2 linked regions of the Styela clava genome follow. The protein of the gene in region 2 interacts with the protein of the main gene of each other region in a biochemical or structural test. Links are inferred from orthologs where the notes say so. Each region holds a gene or a part of one and is shown on either strand. Other genes may lie near its edges. The genes, in order: ran GTPase-activating protein 1-like and E3 SUMO-protein ligase RanBP2-like.

Region 1 (7,695 bases), on a different chromosome or scaffold from region 2:
AACCATTTTTGCATATGTTATTCCTAACCCCCGGCCCCACCTGACTACGTCATTTAAAAATTACGACACTACAACGTCACAGCAACGTATAAGGCCCTCCAAACTATCTCAACTGTCATCCAAGACACGCAGGCAATCAGTCGAAATCTAGCAAGCTATTTCTCTCGTTTTCTCGCCGGAAGGATCCGGATATGAGAGAGATCGCTGGCGTTATTGAGTTCGTTATCGTTGGCAAGGATGTCATTTTCGGCGATCGTAGCTACACTCTTGCAAACAAACTCCTTGACATGATTGTGAGGTCATAGTGACGTAATCTTTAGATGATGAAGCCAGGTGGGGGTTAGGAGTACCTTATGCAAAAATGGTTGTGCCGCGCCACACAGAAGTACTTACGTCGTTCAGTGAACATTCGAACAATCGATTCGTTTTGGACATCCCTGTGGCAAACTACTTTCAGTATAATTTTATTCTTGTTACAAAAGGAAATATCGAATTTTTCTGAAGATTATGTTTTACCATGTTTCATTAATTATTTAGGTCTTGAAAATAGACTCGGATTGCAGATATGAACCAGAATATCAATTTAAGCGAACAAAAACAACTCTCTCACCTGTTTCTTCCTGCAATAAAAACTTTCAGAGCAAGTGGTTTTCCACAAGCACTGCTCCTTCTATGACATTCAATAAGTGTTTCTGCCAAAGTTTTTCCTCCGATCCCCATGCCATTGTTATTGAACTTAAGAACCTGGTCATTTCAAACAGAGAAAAAATATTTCAAATGAATTTTAGAACTTTTAAATATACTTGACGCAGGGTCATAAACCCTGACAATGCAGTTTACCATAAATCGGGAACACCCTATTCCAAATCAGAAAATCAAAGTAAAAGGATACCTACAATTAAACATTCCAGTGCCACTGATCCTAGATATTTAGTTTTATCTGAATTTTTAGAAAAAATAGTTTGGGATAAAAGGTAATTGTGTAAAATAACCTCTCGCAGTCAGTTCCATGAAAAAGTTCTTTAAATTTATTTTCACAATTTTTTAAAATGTCTTAAAATAATTTTTTTAAACCTACACTCTTAGTGAAATCGTAAAAAATAGAAGTACCCGAAGAGTATAAGATGCCTCGCTTTTCAATAACTCAGCAATAGACTTAATTCCGATAGGTCCAAAAGCGTTATCACTGAGATCTATTTCAACCAAGTGTGCTCCAGCTTTCATAATTGAAGAACCGAGTGAAGTCAGTGACGGAGGAATTTCACTTCTCAAACGTCCTATAAAAAAAAAATGAAAACAACTGAAAAATTATAATCAGAGATCAGGGTGGTCCAAGGTTGAAGGGAGGCAAAAACTTTTGAGGTCTAGCGGGGCACAGTTGGAAAAACCCAAAAGTGATCAGAATATCGCGAGCTTACTGTAATTATATTAAAGAATGACAGTTTACCGTTCTAATTAGCCTATGCATGGGTTGCATTTTTTATTTTAAGGAAGATATACAAAGCCTTTAGTTGTTTTAAAATTGCTTCCCGAAAGGTACTATGGTAACTTAACTTCCATATCTTTTTTCGTTTTTAGTTTTGTAGTGTTGATTCAAATTATATTCTTCCATGACAGATATCACTTAAAAGCAGACCAGACACTGTACTGTGGTTTACCGTTGTTGTGGGCAAGGAAATATTATGTTTACTCCCGGTTTTCCTATGTCACCTTTCTTCTGAGACTCATTTTATGATGAATTGTTATATTTGACTAATTTGATAACTTGCAGCGTGAGCAGGCCTTGTGCTATCGTTCAAAAATGACCAAGTTTGACTCAGAATTAGGATTTCGGGATCTAGCTAAACCAAAAGCTGGATCACGCGCCGCTAAGTCAGTTCTGCGTTTCGTTACTGCTGTTATATGTCCCACGTTTAAAAATAGAGGAGTTTTTTACAAAAATGAAGGCACAAAATGTCTTTCTAAATAAGGAGTTGCTTGACGCGAGATTAATTAAGGTGCAAAGTTGAGATGGCGCGGCGCGACTTATATCATCTGTTGAGTGGTGTCTGCAAAAGACATTAATAAGAAAGAAACTCATAAATGTTCTGCCAATAAATACAAATAGTTGCCAATTGTTTAGTATACACCAAAAGTAAAATTGTTCTGCCGGCTATAACGCGAGTAACAATTAAAGTTATTTGATTAACCTGTAAACATATCTGCCCATAAACATCTTTCGAGTTCTTTACGATCATCTAAAGAATCAGCAATGGCTTTTGCAGCTTCCACACCTATTGTGTTTCCACATAATTCAAGCACCTGAACATAGAAAAATCCATTATTTGCTGTGATTTCGTCAAATTAATCAATTTTTGAATTAAAAATTGTAATAGCAGGTGTAGAATGGTCAAAACCGAACCTACTATGCCCAATACACATATGGAAGTTGATGAGTGTCAATGAGTTTGAAAATGTAAGATGATCAGTAATTTAATGGTTCTTCATTTTTTTTTTTAGAGTTTCTAACAAATAAATGAAGCCCTTTATTTCAAAATGATAATTTTTTTATCAAAGCACATTAATTTTTAAAATCAATAAATTGAAATACTGCATATAATTAATTTCGAATTGTTTTGAATATTCCTTAGCTGGTTCAAAAAGGAGTTTCAGTCAAGATTCATATTTCTGAAATTATGGTTAGGGCATATTTGTAAATCTTTTACTAATCTATTACAAAAATTGTTTAATTAGGCCAAGGCAACAAGTACCTGTAGATCTGGACAGTCACGAATAGCTTGTATAACTTTCTTGGCATCTTCTTCATTATTCAGTTTTAATCCCTGTCCTTTGAAACTGACAATATTTTGCTGTCGAACTTCAGTTTTTTGTAACAAGGAGGCAATTTCATCGACTTTGTCATTTTTTGACATATTTTTGATTCACTCTTAGCGGTTTTAGAGGTTTATTTTATTATACAGTTAATTTATTTGAATATATACAGTGGCTGGAGAACCGAATGAATAGCTTAGACAAAAAATAAGAAAATATTTTATCAACTTGGTATCACAACTACATGTTTTGTGAAAGCAGAAGGCAACAAATCAAAAAGTAAATATTTATACAATAAAAGTTCATTACAAAAGACTTTTCTGAAACAATGTAGCCAAGCTTGAAATAAGAAAGCGGGTCACTGTTTCTCATAGAAATAAGCAGCATAATATAATGTGATAAACTGATGCTCCTTCGTTTTCAAGTATCTCGTACTCCTAAAAAAAATAAGCTACCTAGGAAAAAACCAATTTGAACAAAATGAAGTATCATAAGAACGAACATACTGGTGTTTTTATTTTGTTAAGAAAATGTTTCAGCAATAACAAATAAAACAATGAATATTCATATTTCATTGAACATATAAAGCAGTTAACAAAAAGAAATTCAAAATGCAAAAAAACATATACAACAACCTGACAAAAACTTATCCGAACACCAAATACTTTTACCCTATTATAATTAAATACTCAATACCATATTACACCAATATAACAATGGCAATATATATATATAAGAGAACACTGTCCGATGAAATCATTTCAAGCATAATTTTGACATAGGAAAGCGAGGGTAAGGAATTCGTGGAAATTTACTTCTCCAATATGAGTGTTGTTGTTGTACATTATATATATTTTACATGTGCTGCAGCTACGCTAGATCTAAAAGGTCTTTCAGGCACAGAAGATAGACACATGTGAATGCTGATGAAAAACAGTGAGATACTGTTTTAAAATCTAATCAAACATACAATCATTTCAACTTGAAGAAAATATATTTATGGCTTTTATTCCAACAGACTTGAATTGCACATTGCAAAATTGTATTCGCCGATGCCATTAGTTTTTGAAATAATGAACCAATTGTTTGAAACTTTTAGTGGATGGAAATGTCACCTCAGAAGCTATCACTTTATTTGTCTGTCAAATTTTCTCCCAAGGCTTTTCAGCTTTAGCTGATTTTAAAAAATTGATCCCATTTGGCAATTTAACTCTATGATTGATTTCCATAAATGTGAAGTAATTCCATATTGCCTATATATGTGAAATAAAGTTGCTACAATTCAATAAAAGAAAGTGATCCTTCCAAATTCATTAGAACTATCGCTGTCAGAATAAGAATCACTCTCCTCAGAATCTGATGATTCAACATCGCTTACTATTATAATATTTCGAGATCGAGTGCGATACCGTGAGTGGCCTTCTCTGTCATCATTGTTTGATCTACTCAGGTCGATAGGAGAGTTAGGTACTCTTCTTCCTCGACCCCGACCACCCCTCGAACCACGCCCACGCCCCCTATTTGCTTTATTTTTGGCAATTTCAGATTCAATTTTCATTCTCTCCTCAATAATTTTCTCTCTTTTTTCTTTAAGAACAGGAGAAATACCTTCGAGAGCTTTAGAAATATAATTATCCAGAACAAGAGATCGTGTCAATGTCAATATGGGCTGCCTACAAACTGGACAAATACTATTAACGTTTTTCCACTCATTAATACAATATTCACAAAATGTGTGAGCACAGTTCAATGTCGTTGAAACAATGAATAACTCTGAGCAAATTGCACACTGAAGTTCATTTTCCATTGTATCTACCACCGTTTTGATAGTTGAAGAATTTACCTTATCCTTTTCAAATGATGCTTTACACTGCTCAAATGCAATGTCTTTTTCTAGTTGAAGCCTCATCTCTAATTCTTCTTCCTTCTCTACAAGTTTGGTTTTGAAATTTTGCTCAAGCTTTTGTGTAATTTTCTTTTGTTCGTCTTCAATTCTTTTGTTTCGCAAATTAATTTCTTCTTTCAAAGCTTGTTCTTTCTCCTCGAGCTGTAGTTTTAATCTTTTATTTTCTCGTTCCATTTCATGATTTGTTTCTGATTGAGTTTCAATTTTCATTTTTTTATTTTTATTTTTTCCAGTGGAATGTACCATTTTATCATTACAATTTGTTTCGTGGTCAACTGTTGGAACATTTATTTTAACAATTTTGGCATTTTTATTTTTGGATTTTTTATATTCTACTTGTTTTGAAGCACCATTAGCAAGTCTTTTACTTTTTGCTGGATGCAGCTTTAAATAATCTTTTTTTAAAGATTCAGACATATGCGTCTTTGGCCCCCGTGGTTTGCTGTCTAATTCCGAATTGGTTGCAGATAACACATTATAAATAAATCGATCATTGGCGCTCATTGTTTTTAAAATTTCCTCATCATCAGGTCTACCAATCTCCACTTTATCACCAGCACTAAGACGATGCCAGTTAGAGTTCTCAATTTTAACACCATTGACGTGTATTCCATTCAATGAATTTAGGTCTTTAATGTAAAAGTTTTCATCTTTCTTTTTCAATATTTCTGCATGTGTTCTAGAAACATGTTGTGATAACAATCGTATAGGTAAATCTGATGATCGACCAAGTGTTACCACATCATTCACCTTTGTTGAAAATGGAATCCATTGATCAGGACCTTTATTTCCACTGTTTTTATCTCCAGTCACACGAGACAAGAAGAGCTCCATTGACAGATTGAATCACTTTTCAGAAATTCAATGAATGCATAGCTATATCTGTGAAAGTTTTAAAATCATATTTTTTTAGATACACTGATATATATGTACAGATGTAATACCAGTACAGATCTGCAGATGGTGAATAAACTTATTTTGATATATTCTCAAATTTATACCGGTACAACTGTAAAGCGTTACACATAAGGCAAAAAACGATCAATGCAAAAAATATTAGACAGAATACAGGAATAACTGAATAAGCTAACCAAAAGAGCAAACAAACAAAAATGGGGTCTCATGTAGTTTTCTACCTAACATACTTCTAGTGGGCGTAGCACAACAATTTTTTCATGTGTCAATCCTAACCCCCACCTGCAGACCCGACTATGCCATCCAAATATTACGTCTCTACGAAGGCACCGGCGCCATATCGGGCGATAGTACGTATATTTAACAAGCTCTATGACGTGTTTGTGATGTCGTAGTGACGTAATTTTTGGATGGCATAGTCTGGTGGGGGTTAGGATTGACATGTCAAAAAATTATGATGCTACGCCCACTAGAAGTATGTTAGGTAAGAAACTACACGAGACCCCAAAAATGTTCCCCATACGCTATAAATTTGACACAATGTATTATTATTTATTTACGGTAACCGGTCAAAAATTCATCAGAACAGATTAAACTTAGATTCCCGTATGTCTTGTACCGGCATTGTCCACATACTACCGTACCGTACCGGTATGTACCGTACTACATAAACTCAGTCAAATCTCAATTCACAGAAAAAAGTTTCATTAGAAATTACAGAGTCTGATACGGTAGTTGAGGTCCGGATAATACAGTAACACACATCTCTAAACGCACGATGAGTACCTTTTTTGCTAAGCGCGCCAAATCAAAACTTTTTGACTTTGCCAAAAAGAGGCTACCGGTACTTCGTGACCCACATGCAGCGGCGGCGGCGTGCGTGAAAATCTATCTTGTTCTTAGATAGATAGTTTATTTCGAAAACTCCATAACAAACCTAAATTTAAAATGGAGAATTCTGGAGGGCAAGCAAAACCTACAAAAAAGTTTAAAACATGAAGTATCTCATGTGCCTGCCCACCAGCACGCACACAAAAACACAAGCCCAATTAAATGAGGCTTGGGCCAAACTTAAAAAACAAAATACACGATAGTAATACTAATAAACTTTCGGGCTGTTGTACTCTCTTTCAACAATTACGTTGATAATGACCAATACCTACAACCTCATGCAAAGATAATGTGGGGAGTGGAATGTAATAAATTTGCGACGATAGTCATACTCATGAGGCCATGAAAGCTTTAAGAAAAACCAAGCCATGAAAAACTACACTGATTGCTAGATTGGGCATTGCGGAAAAGGTGATAAGTGGTTTAATATACAAACAAACGCAAAACCATGGCGGAATGAAACGGAATACTGGCTGGAATGAAACACTCGTGAAATCACAAAGTATAATCAGAGCTATTATATACGGTAATGGCTCTGGTATAATAACCCTCTGTCTGTGGTTTGAGCCATGCTACATAACAGGGGTTCTCAACCCGTCGATGCGTATTCTGCGGCCCCCCAAAGATCTTTGATGAACCCAAACATATCATAATATCTGCGGCGTAACGAATATAAACGATTTTTTAATTCGGTATCATTCTTCTCAACCCTTACAGCGCATGATAAGATTATGGATTATGTCATCACAGCAAATAGATTAATTACGTATTGTTTTTTTTTTTTTTTTTTTTTTAAAGGTCCACGTTGTGGATTCATAACAGTTTTGTAAAAATAAATAAATGATGAAAAAATAATAATCATAGAACATAATTACGTATTGTTACGTAAAAATTGAGTTACTTAGCTCGCTCATTGCACCCTCCATATACCTTCGGAAACGCGCTTCAAAACGGTGTTACACTGCGTCCAGCTTGAAGGCACTAAGTCATGGCGACAACGAAGAGAAATTAAACGACGGAAACAGAGTTTTTAACTCTGCGTGGAACAATGAATGAATTTGCTTTTGCAGAGATAAATGGGAAACCCATCTGTCTCATTTGTCAACGAAGTAAATTTACAACGACACAGTAAAACTAATCCCATACCCGACTTGGAATGGTAACCGGACGAG
Region 2 (7,653 bases):
GCATAACTTACCAAGCCAGAAATTCCAATGCTTCGTTGTATTTTTCTTGCTCGAAGCATAACCAAACATTGCGACATAAACTTATCAACAACATAGAATATGCCTTAATAGATTCATCTGTAACATCATCATCACTCATATGCTCTGCATAATCCTAATGAACAAGAATATAGAAATGATGTTTGACAAAGCTAGGGAATTGAAATTCCTTTGTGCTAGAATATTTCTGTTGTGTTCCATTCAAATTGAGAAGTCTACAATATACAGCTGAAACAGGTAAACTACGGCCCGCAGGACAAATTCGGCCAATTCATTCTGGCCCGCCTGATGCTGCCACAGACAAACTAAACCAAATTTTGATGTTCAAGTGGAAAAATAGCTCAAGGAATTTGTTGAGATTACGACTAACTTTAGTTTTGGCACAAGCCTAATGTTTTCTACTTTTGCAAAACTGTTAATATTGTTCATAAAATTTAACTTGTTACGTCACACTTACATGGCCCGTGAGTGAGTGAGTGAGATTTGTTACCCGTAATACCAACAAGTACATTAATAATAAGCCGAATAGATAGGAATGAAACCACAAACATTGTTCAGATGCAATTCCTAACAATTCATTCGACAGTATTTTTCTAGCTTCATACCTTGCATGTATCAACCAGACATTGGTTCCATTCCATATCCTTTTCCACAACTTTCGGTATTGAATAGTCATGTTCTATTTTTTCCACGAAAGCAAAAGCTTCATTTAGTCTTTCTTGATTCTGAGAAGCAAATTTAATAATTCAGTAATTTCTTTATCAAACATAGAAAACATTTTTTGCCACACACCTTCAAAAAAGTAACGTATTCAACATAAAGTGACGGATCATTTGGCCGCTTCTTCAGTTCTTGAAGAATAGTCTCTTCGAGTCTGGAAGAAGGAGCTTCTTGTGCAAGATATAGTTCCATCTAAAATAGAAAGTCATTGAAATAAGTGTAGCCAAGTTACAACAATGGCAGTAGTCCACAATATATCACATGAGATATACCTACTCAAAGTGATAATTGGAAAAATGTGAATTAATTAACAAAATAACAATATTATTCATTTTTATATATCAAATTTTAGTTTGATCATTCATAGGACATGGGATAAACTTTTGAGCGGTGTACCGAAATATTTATTCTAACGTTCATTATGATTGTAAAACAGTTTTTTACAATTGAATTAGATACATTTTCTGACGCACAAAAACATGTAGAAAACGTAACTGTTATCTAAAACGTTCATACCTTTAGTTTGTAGACTTGTGGATGATTAGGTAAAGCAACTGCCGCTTTATCCAACCAAACTTGTGCTCGATTTGGATTCTGTGTTGGTCCAGGATTAATGTGCATTTCTGCTACCTTCAACATCAGCTCGTACTGAAATATAACAAAGAAGTCCATGACATAATTGAACATATCAGTGTTTTTCTCTTTGTGCTCCTTTGCAGGTGACAAGTTATGAACACTGGTTTTGATTAGGGATAATGATATAATCACTCTTTTTTTCAATCCCTGGAGTCCCAATCCATCAGGAGTCCCAGTGCATCTTGAAATATTGCTAAAATCCGGAACCGTATATTAGCAGTTTTTGCTAGAAATACTGGTATATTATATCGTTAATAACAGTGATCAAATATTCAAAACACAAAACTTATTTTACAGCAATGGGACAGATAGATATTTTTTATATTTGAAAATTTTCAATAATTCATTCAAGAAGTATTCTATTTTGTCATTAGTTGATTATTGAAAACAAGAATAAACTCATTAAAACAAAAATAATGATCAGATACATTTCAGAAATGCATAACAAGTATAAGCAATGAAGGATAAAAGTTTGTTTTATTCGTGGTATTGATTCAAGTATGGGACAAGGAAAAGTGATCAACCAAATTCACTGATCAATAACTTTGGACAAACGTGACTGTATAAATGAACAAGCTGAAACTAAATTTCGAAAATTATCATTGTATTACTAATATTACATGCCACCATACAGTTGCTTGCTTGATATCAAATTTCTGATATGATAAGACACTGAAACTAAATTCAGATAAGCAAATGGTATAATGAATCAATGCTTGAATATAGAGTTCAGGTCGAGGTAGACTTATGAACTACCGGTAACTACTGTAATTATTTCCTTGGTGGAATTGATGGAACTTTCATTAACAGTTCCATTTAAAACTGAAGCAACAAGCCAATAAGTAGACAACAAAAGTTCAAAAGAAAATACACACCTGCTGTGGTTTGACCCGCAGTGAGCTTTTGTAACAAGCAAGAGCGGCATCGCTTCTGTCTAATTTTTCATAAATTTCGCCAAGTAGTTTGTGAGCTTTTGCATCCTTGTCATAAATAACAAGATATCTAGTAATCCATTTTGAAGCTTTCTCATATTCCCCAACCTCATTCCACCATCGACCAAAATTGAGCCCCTTTATGGAAAGCTGGAAAATGATAAATAAAAAGCATGATTTACAACTTATTAATGACAGTGTTGAGTGATTGGGTTCCTTCTCTGAGTAAATGTACAAACTTCAGAAAATTTCACTTATAGCATAATCGTTTAACAGACACCAATCGAAATGAAACAAGTCGATAGGCGCCCAGGATAACCGTTGATGCATTCATTTTGAGTGGTGCACGTCTTGTTGGTATCTTTTTCATCAGCGATATACTGCGGCGTATAATTAATCACGTTCACTAAAATTTATATTTTCAAGGTAGTTTACGAAATAATGGCGACAAATTAAGAAAGATCTAGTAATTTCTCAATGATTATCACGTTTTTCACTGATGCCATGGAAATAAAACAACAATCCGGACTTTCGGTGAAAAGCATATTACTAGGGTGACTGCATAACCCACTTTAGAAATTTTACCCGGTTGGGTCCGGAAGTTTAGACAGCTACTGCTATACAGACAGAACAATTGAGAATAAGGGTCTCCTAATGCGGAGATCCAATATATCTGATGAACAATCATAATTTGTGTTATTGCAATATGATAATTACACACTGTCTGATTCCGTCGGTTCCCTAAGAATTAGGAAAATCTAGAAAAAAACAATTCCCTCACATTTTTACAATGCAACTTCTAAAATAGATGTAATGCACTAATACAACAAGGTAAACTACTTACTTCTTTTTCAGATTTTGCATATCTCACTGCTTTTGATACAAGCGCTTCAACTTGTTCAATTGATCTTGACATTAGTAGTGGTAAATTTAAATTTAATGTAGTTTAGATACAACTAATAAAATAAGAATTTACATCATCAAAAGCCAATCAAGGTATAGTGAATCATCATTATGCTTCAGCCAAATTAAATAATTGATGAATACTGCAATGCTTTATTGCACTATTTTTTTTTGACACTTGATATGTATTGTCAAAAATATATCTATAAAAAAACAACCTTATGGTGGTATTGTAACAACCTTATGGTGGTATTCTATTATCCAAACAGATAAAACAGTATTTGGTTGATTTTATACACAATAGATAGTGATTAGGGTTATTCAGGCTATTTACATTAAAGAAAACAAACAGATCTGATAGTAAAATCAATAAATCAAACAAGTATCAACATTGCCCCCTATATATATTTCGGATTAGCGGCATGTATATCTACGACTGAGGACTTCAGCCTCCTGAGCTCCCGGTCTCGGGGAAAAAAAGTCCAATGCAAATAGAAATAAATACTCGCACTAAGAGATTTTCGCCATACATAACAGTATGCTAGTTTAAATTTAAGTAAATAAAACTTAATAAATCTTGTATACAACAAAAAATGACATGAAGATAATTTTAATAATACGCAGTTTACAAATTTTATAAATTGGACAAAAACACTGCATTTTCCTTTTCATGACGATAATGAAGTCATTCAAATTGATTTAACTCAAACAAGAATTTAAAAGTAATTAGCACAGGATACAAGACAGCATATGAAGCAACCTGATTAAACTTATGTCTTATAGTATAATCAGGCTATGCATAAAGTATGAAAGCCCATCAAAAATCACTGAGCACATTCACTAGCAAGTTTATTCCCAAGGTTTACTTCACGATCTACACTTTTCGCATTTATTATTATAATAATTACGGTAGTCAATTTTTATAAGCTATATTTTAATAACCTTGAAGAGGGAAAAATCTTGGAAATATTGCTGTGAAATCTTACAGTGGGATGTATCTCTACCAAGAAAATTCAGAAGTGAAATGGTTGAAGACTGGATTGCATGAAATCGAAAGATATATTGTTTTAAATTGAGCAAAATACATTATATGAGCAACAGAAAAGACCGACTAAAAAATAAAAGGTATTCATATTTTCAATATGAAATAAATAATGAAAATTTGATCTGATAATGAAATTTAAAGCTACACTAATATAAGAAAGAAGATCTATCGATTAGCACGTTTTTTCATGATCCAAAAAAATATAGAAGGAAACAAATATCGGAGCCAAACTACTAGTCTTAATTTTAAAGTCGCAATTGAAACTTCTTCTTGATTATTGCGGATCGCGCTTACAACTTGTTTCGCAATATTACAAGGCTCCATTCCACTTTCAGTAGTGGCATCCATTTTACCGTAATTGGTACCATCCCCAGTCATGGCATTTAGAGACAAACTTGTTTTAACATATCCAGGATAAACAGAGCAGACATTTATTCCAAAACGTGCCACTTCGGAACGCAAACAAGAAAAAAATGCTGTGCATGCAAATTTAGATGCACTGTATGCTGATCGATGTGGAATTGATATTTGTCCCTGTATACTGTTTATAGACAAAATGTGAGCTTTGTATTTTTCACAACTATGTGGCAACTTAATCATACTAGGTAAAAGACGTGTTGTCAAGGAGACATGCCCAAAGTAATTTGTTTCCATCAACTTTTTGTGAACATCCATGGAAGTACTCAGAATGTTACCACGATATGACATCCCAGCATTGTTAATTAATATATGAATTCCGTCAGGAAATTTACGATTCACTGAATCAACAGCATCCTGGATGCTCTGTTCATTTGAAATATCTAGAGGAATCACGCAAGGTTCAGGCCTATCTTCACAATTGTTCATATTAATCAACTCATTTTTTAATTCTTCCAATTTGTCTACATTCCTGGAACATAAAATCACTTGACAACCAGCTTTAAAAAATTCTTTAGCACATTCTTTTCCAATACCAGAACTCGCCCCCGTTATAACAACCACTTTGTCACTTCCCAATGAAGTGAATTGGCGGAAGGCATATTTTAAAGAAAATAAAGCAGCAGGTGCTATTAGTGCAGCTAAATATAAAGCAGTCTCATATGACAGGTCCATCTCTCGACCCGTATTAAAAAAAACTGTAAAATGGAATTTGGATAACGTAAATGTAAATGCCAACAGGTGAGAGCCTATAACAGGCAGCCTGTGTTCAAAAATATTAGAAAACAAAAAAAATATATCAGTATATTGAAATACTCTAAGCCTGACATGTGCAAACTACGGACCGTGAGCCAAATCCGGCTTGTTTGGTGATACAATCTGGCCACCTGATGCTGACATAAATTTCTACTTGCTTTACCCAATTCTGCGTAAGTTGTATTTTAGTTTGCTACAGACTTTCATTCAATAATGAAACGTTAACAAAACTTTACGTTTTCTCGCTCACTCGATTTCATGACATGCTTTTCGCACTTTTTTCTTTCTCTTCGTGCACTTGTTGTTGGCCACAGCCCATCGAATTGGGCCTCGGCCCATCAGGCTATGGGCCGCGGCCCATCAAGTTGTGTAAAGAAACTATTCACTTGGCTAACACAGACAGTCCCCGAACTCATAATAGAACTATAATGTAAAAAATCTGAATTTTTTTGTCCTAACCCTAACCTGGAACACATACTACAGGAGTATATTTTTTTGGTTCGAATATTGACAGTTTGGTAAAAATTAAAAATTTTGTTAAGATAATCGATTTTTTCCTGATGGGGCCGCGGCCCATCAAGCTATGGGCCACGGCCCATGTGACCCAATTAGATGGGCCGTGGCCCCGGCCCATAGGCCGTAGAGGAGTCACCACTCCTGTAGGATTTCATGACATGCTTTTCACACTTTTTTCTTTCTCTTCGTGCACTTGTTGTGTGCGATCATGGGAAAACATGAGGAACAGACATATATCTCAAAGTGTCTGGTGGAACAGACAACCTAAAACTGCCTTGGAATGAAATTACAAATACTGAAATAGGACTACAAATAGATCTCCAAACTTAAATGAAAAAACGTCCGTTTGCTCAAACAAATTCTGAAATTCATGATACTGTGATAAGATGAAACTAGGAAGCCCGTAGACGGATGTAATTTTCTTGCACTGCATCATCCATTATTAAGACGATTTGTGCAGCTCAATAATGTTGTGAAGGCAATAGTAAAGAAGAAATCGATCAACAAGATTTGCTTTATCATTGCCAGGTATGTTGGTTAAGTTAGGGAAAAGCGTGTTAACATGTTTGGGATATTAAAGAGGCCATTACAGCATTAGGTAATAATTGAAGCTAATTGGGAAAAATTAGAAGAAAAAAATCAGCTTCCTCTCCCAAAAGAGGGGTGTCTGATCATCTGTAAAATGGGTGTCTCTGGAACGAGACAATGTCGCTCGATCTGTATAGTGTGCCATACGGTAATGCTGGTAATGCTGTAGTGATTTTTATTATCACCAAATAGCAACTATGAATTTTGGTGATATGGCAGGCTAATGGCTGAATGGCCATGGCCGATGCACATCTGCACATCTGCACATCGCGATTGATCTTATTGATACAGGTAAGCTATATGTTATTAGGCTACAGTTTTAATGCTGTAATGCAGTAATGTGACAAGTATTACCATCTAGTTAACACATTCAGGTATTTCATGCATTTGTCAGATTTATAGTCATACCGGTATCAGGTGCTCTCGTTCACGAGACAAATGTCAGAATGTGTTTATTGTATGATATGGATCCAACTGTCCAACAAGATATCTCGTAATCGGCTGAGCGGAGGACTGTACAGCCCAGTTTAATAAATTTAAGTAGGCCCTACCGTAATTTTGTTTTTGGTACCGGTATTCTTTCTCATGTTTTAAACTTGGAAGTTTTACTCGCTCTATAGAATTCTCTATTTTTAATCTGTACCGCTGTACCGGTACCGTACTGTATTAATGTGGAATTTTCAAAATAAATTACCGGAACTGGGACCGGTATGGCTGTATGGCGGTATCTATCTTTCAGTCTTTCTATTTTCTCCCAAACCGATCGCAACACAGTACCGGTATGGCGGTATCTATCTTTCAGTCTTTCTATTTTCTCCCAAACCGATCGTAACACAGTACTGTTACCGTTACCGGTAAGGTAACACTGTACGGTACCGGTAACAGGTGTATATTATCATAATAATATTATGCTAATAATAGCCAAAGATCAGAACCGCATACACCTGGTACCGTTTTATGATTTCAGTTGAACTATTGATATACACCTGGCTCATTTCAGCCATTGGCAGATTGGCGATTGGCCACATTGGACATAGAGAAACTCTCGCGCCATTATGACAAGGGGAACAGGTTGTTTCCCCGACCCTTGACCCTGGAATA

The links.
Region 1: the proteins of E3 SUMO-protein ligase RanBP2-like (region 2) and ran GTPase-activating protein 1-like form a complex in vitro, tested with the Homo sapiens proteins (5 studies listed by BioGRID and IntAct, with this or other methods). The link is inferred for Styela clava from reciprocal best matches to the Homo sapiens genes RANBP2 and RANGAP1.

What each region holds. Positions count from the first base shown.
Region 1 is NC_135253.1:16,789,979-16,797,673, forward strand, and holds the start of ran GTPase-activating protein 1-like, read right to left. Parts: upstream 3,034-7,695; 5' UTR 2,913-3,033; coding exon 2,751-2,912; intron 2,302-2,750; coding exon 2,190-2,301; intron 1,278-2,189; coding exon 1,111-1,277; intron 745-1,110; coding exon 611-744; intron 1-610. Other genes in the region: uncharacterized protein LOC120327195, read right to left, coding at 4,094-5,551. UniProt on the Homo sapiens protein: GTPase activator for RAN. Converts cytoplasmic GTP-bound RAN to GDP-bound RAN, which is essential for RAN-mediated nuclear import and export. Mediates dissociation of cargo from nuclear export complexes containing XPO1, RAN and RANBP2 after nuclear export.
Region 2 is NC_135258.1:17,858,123-17,865,775, forward strand, and holds the start of E3 SUMO-protein ligase RanBP2-like, read right to left. Parts: upstream 3,286-7,653; 5' UTR 3,244-3,285; coding exon 3,172-3,243; intron 2,478-3,171; coding exon 2,271-2,477; intron 1,408-2,270; coding exon 1,276-1,407; intron 952-1,275; coding exon 832-951; intron 765-831; coding exon 645-764; intron 155-644; coding exon 12-154; intron 1-11. Other genes in the region: dehydrogenase/reductase SDR family protein 7-like, read right to left, coding at 4,441-5,367. UniProt on the Homo sapiens protein: E3 SUMO-protein ligase which facilitates SUMO1 and SUMO2 conjugation by UBE2I. Involved in transport factor (Ran-GTP, karyopherin)-mediated protein import via the F-G repeat-containing domain which acts as a docking site for substrates.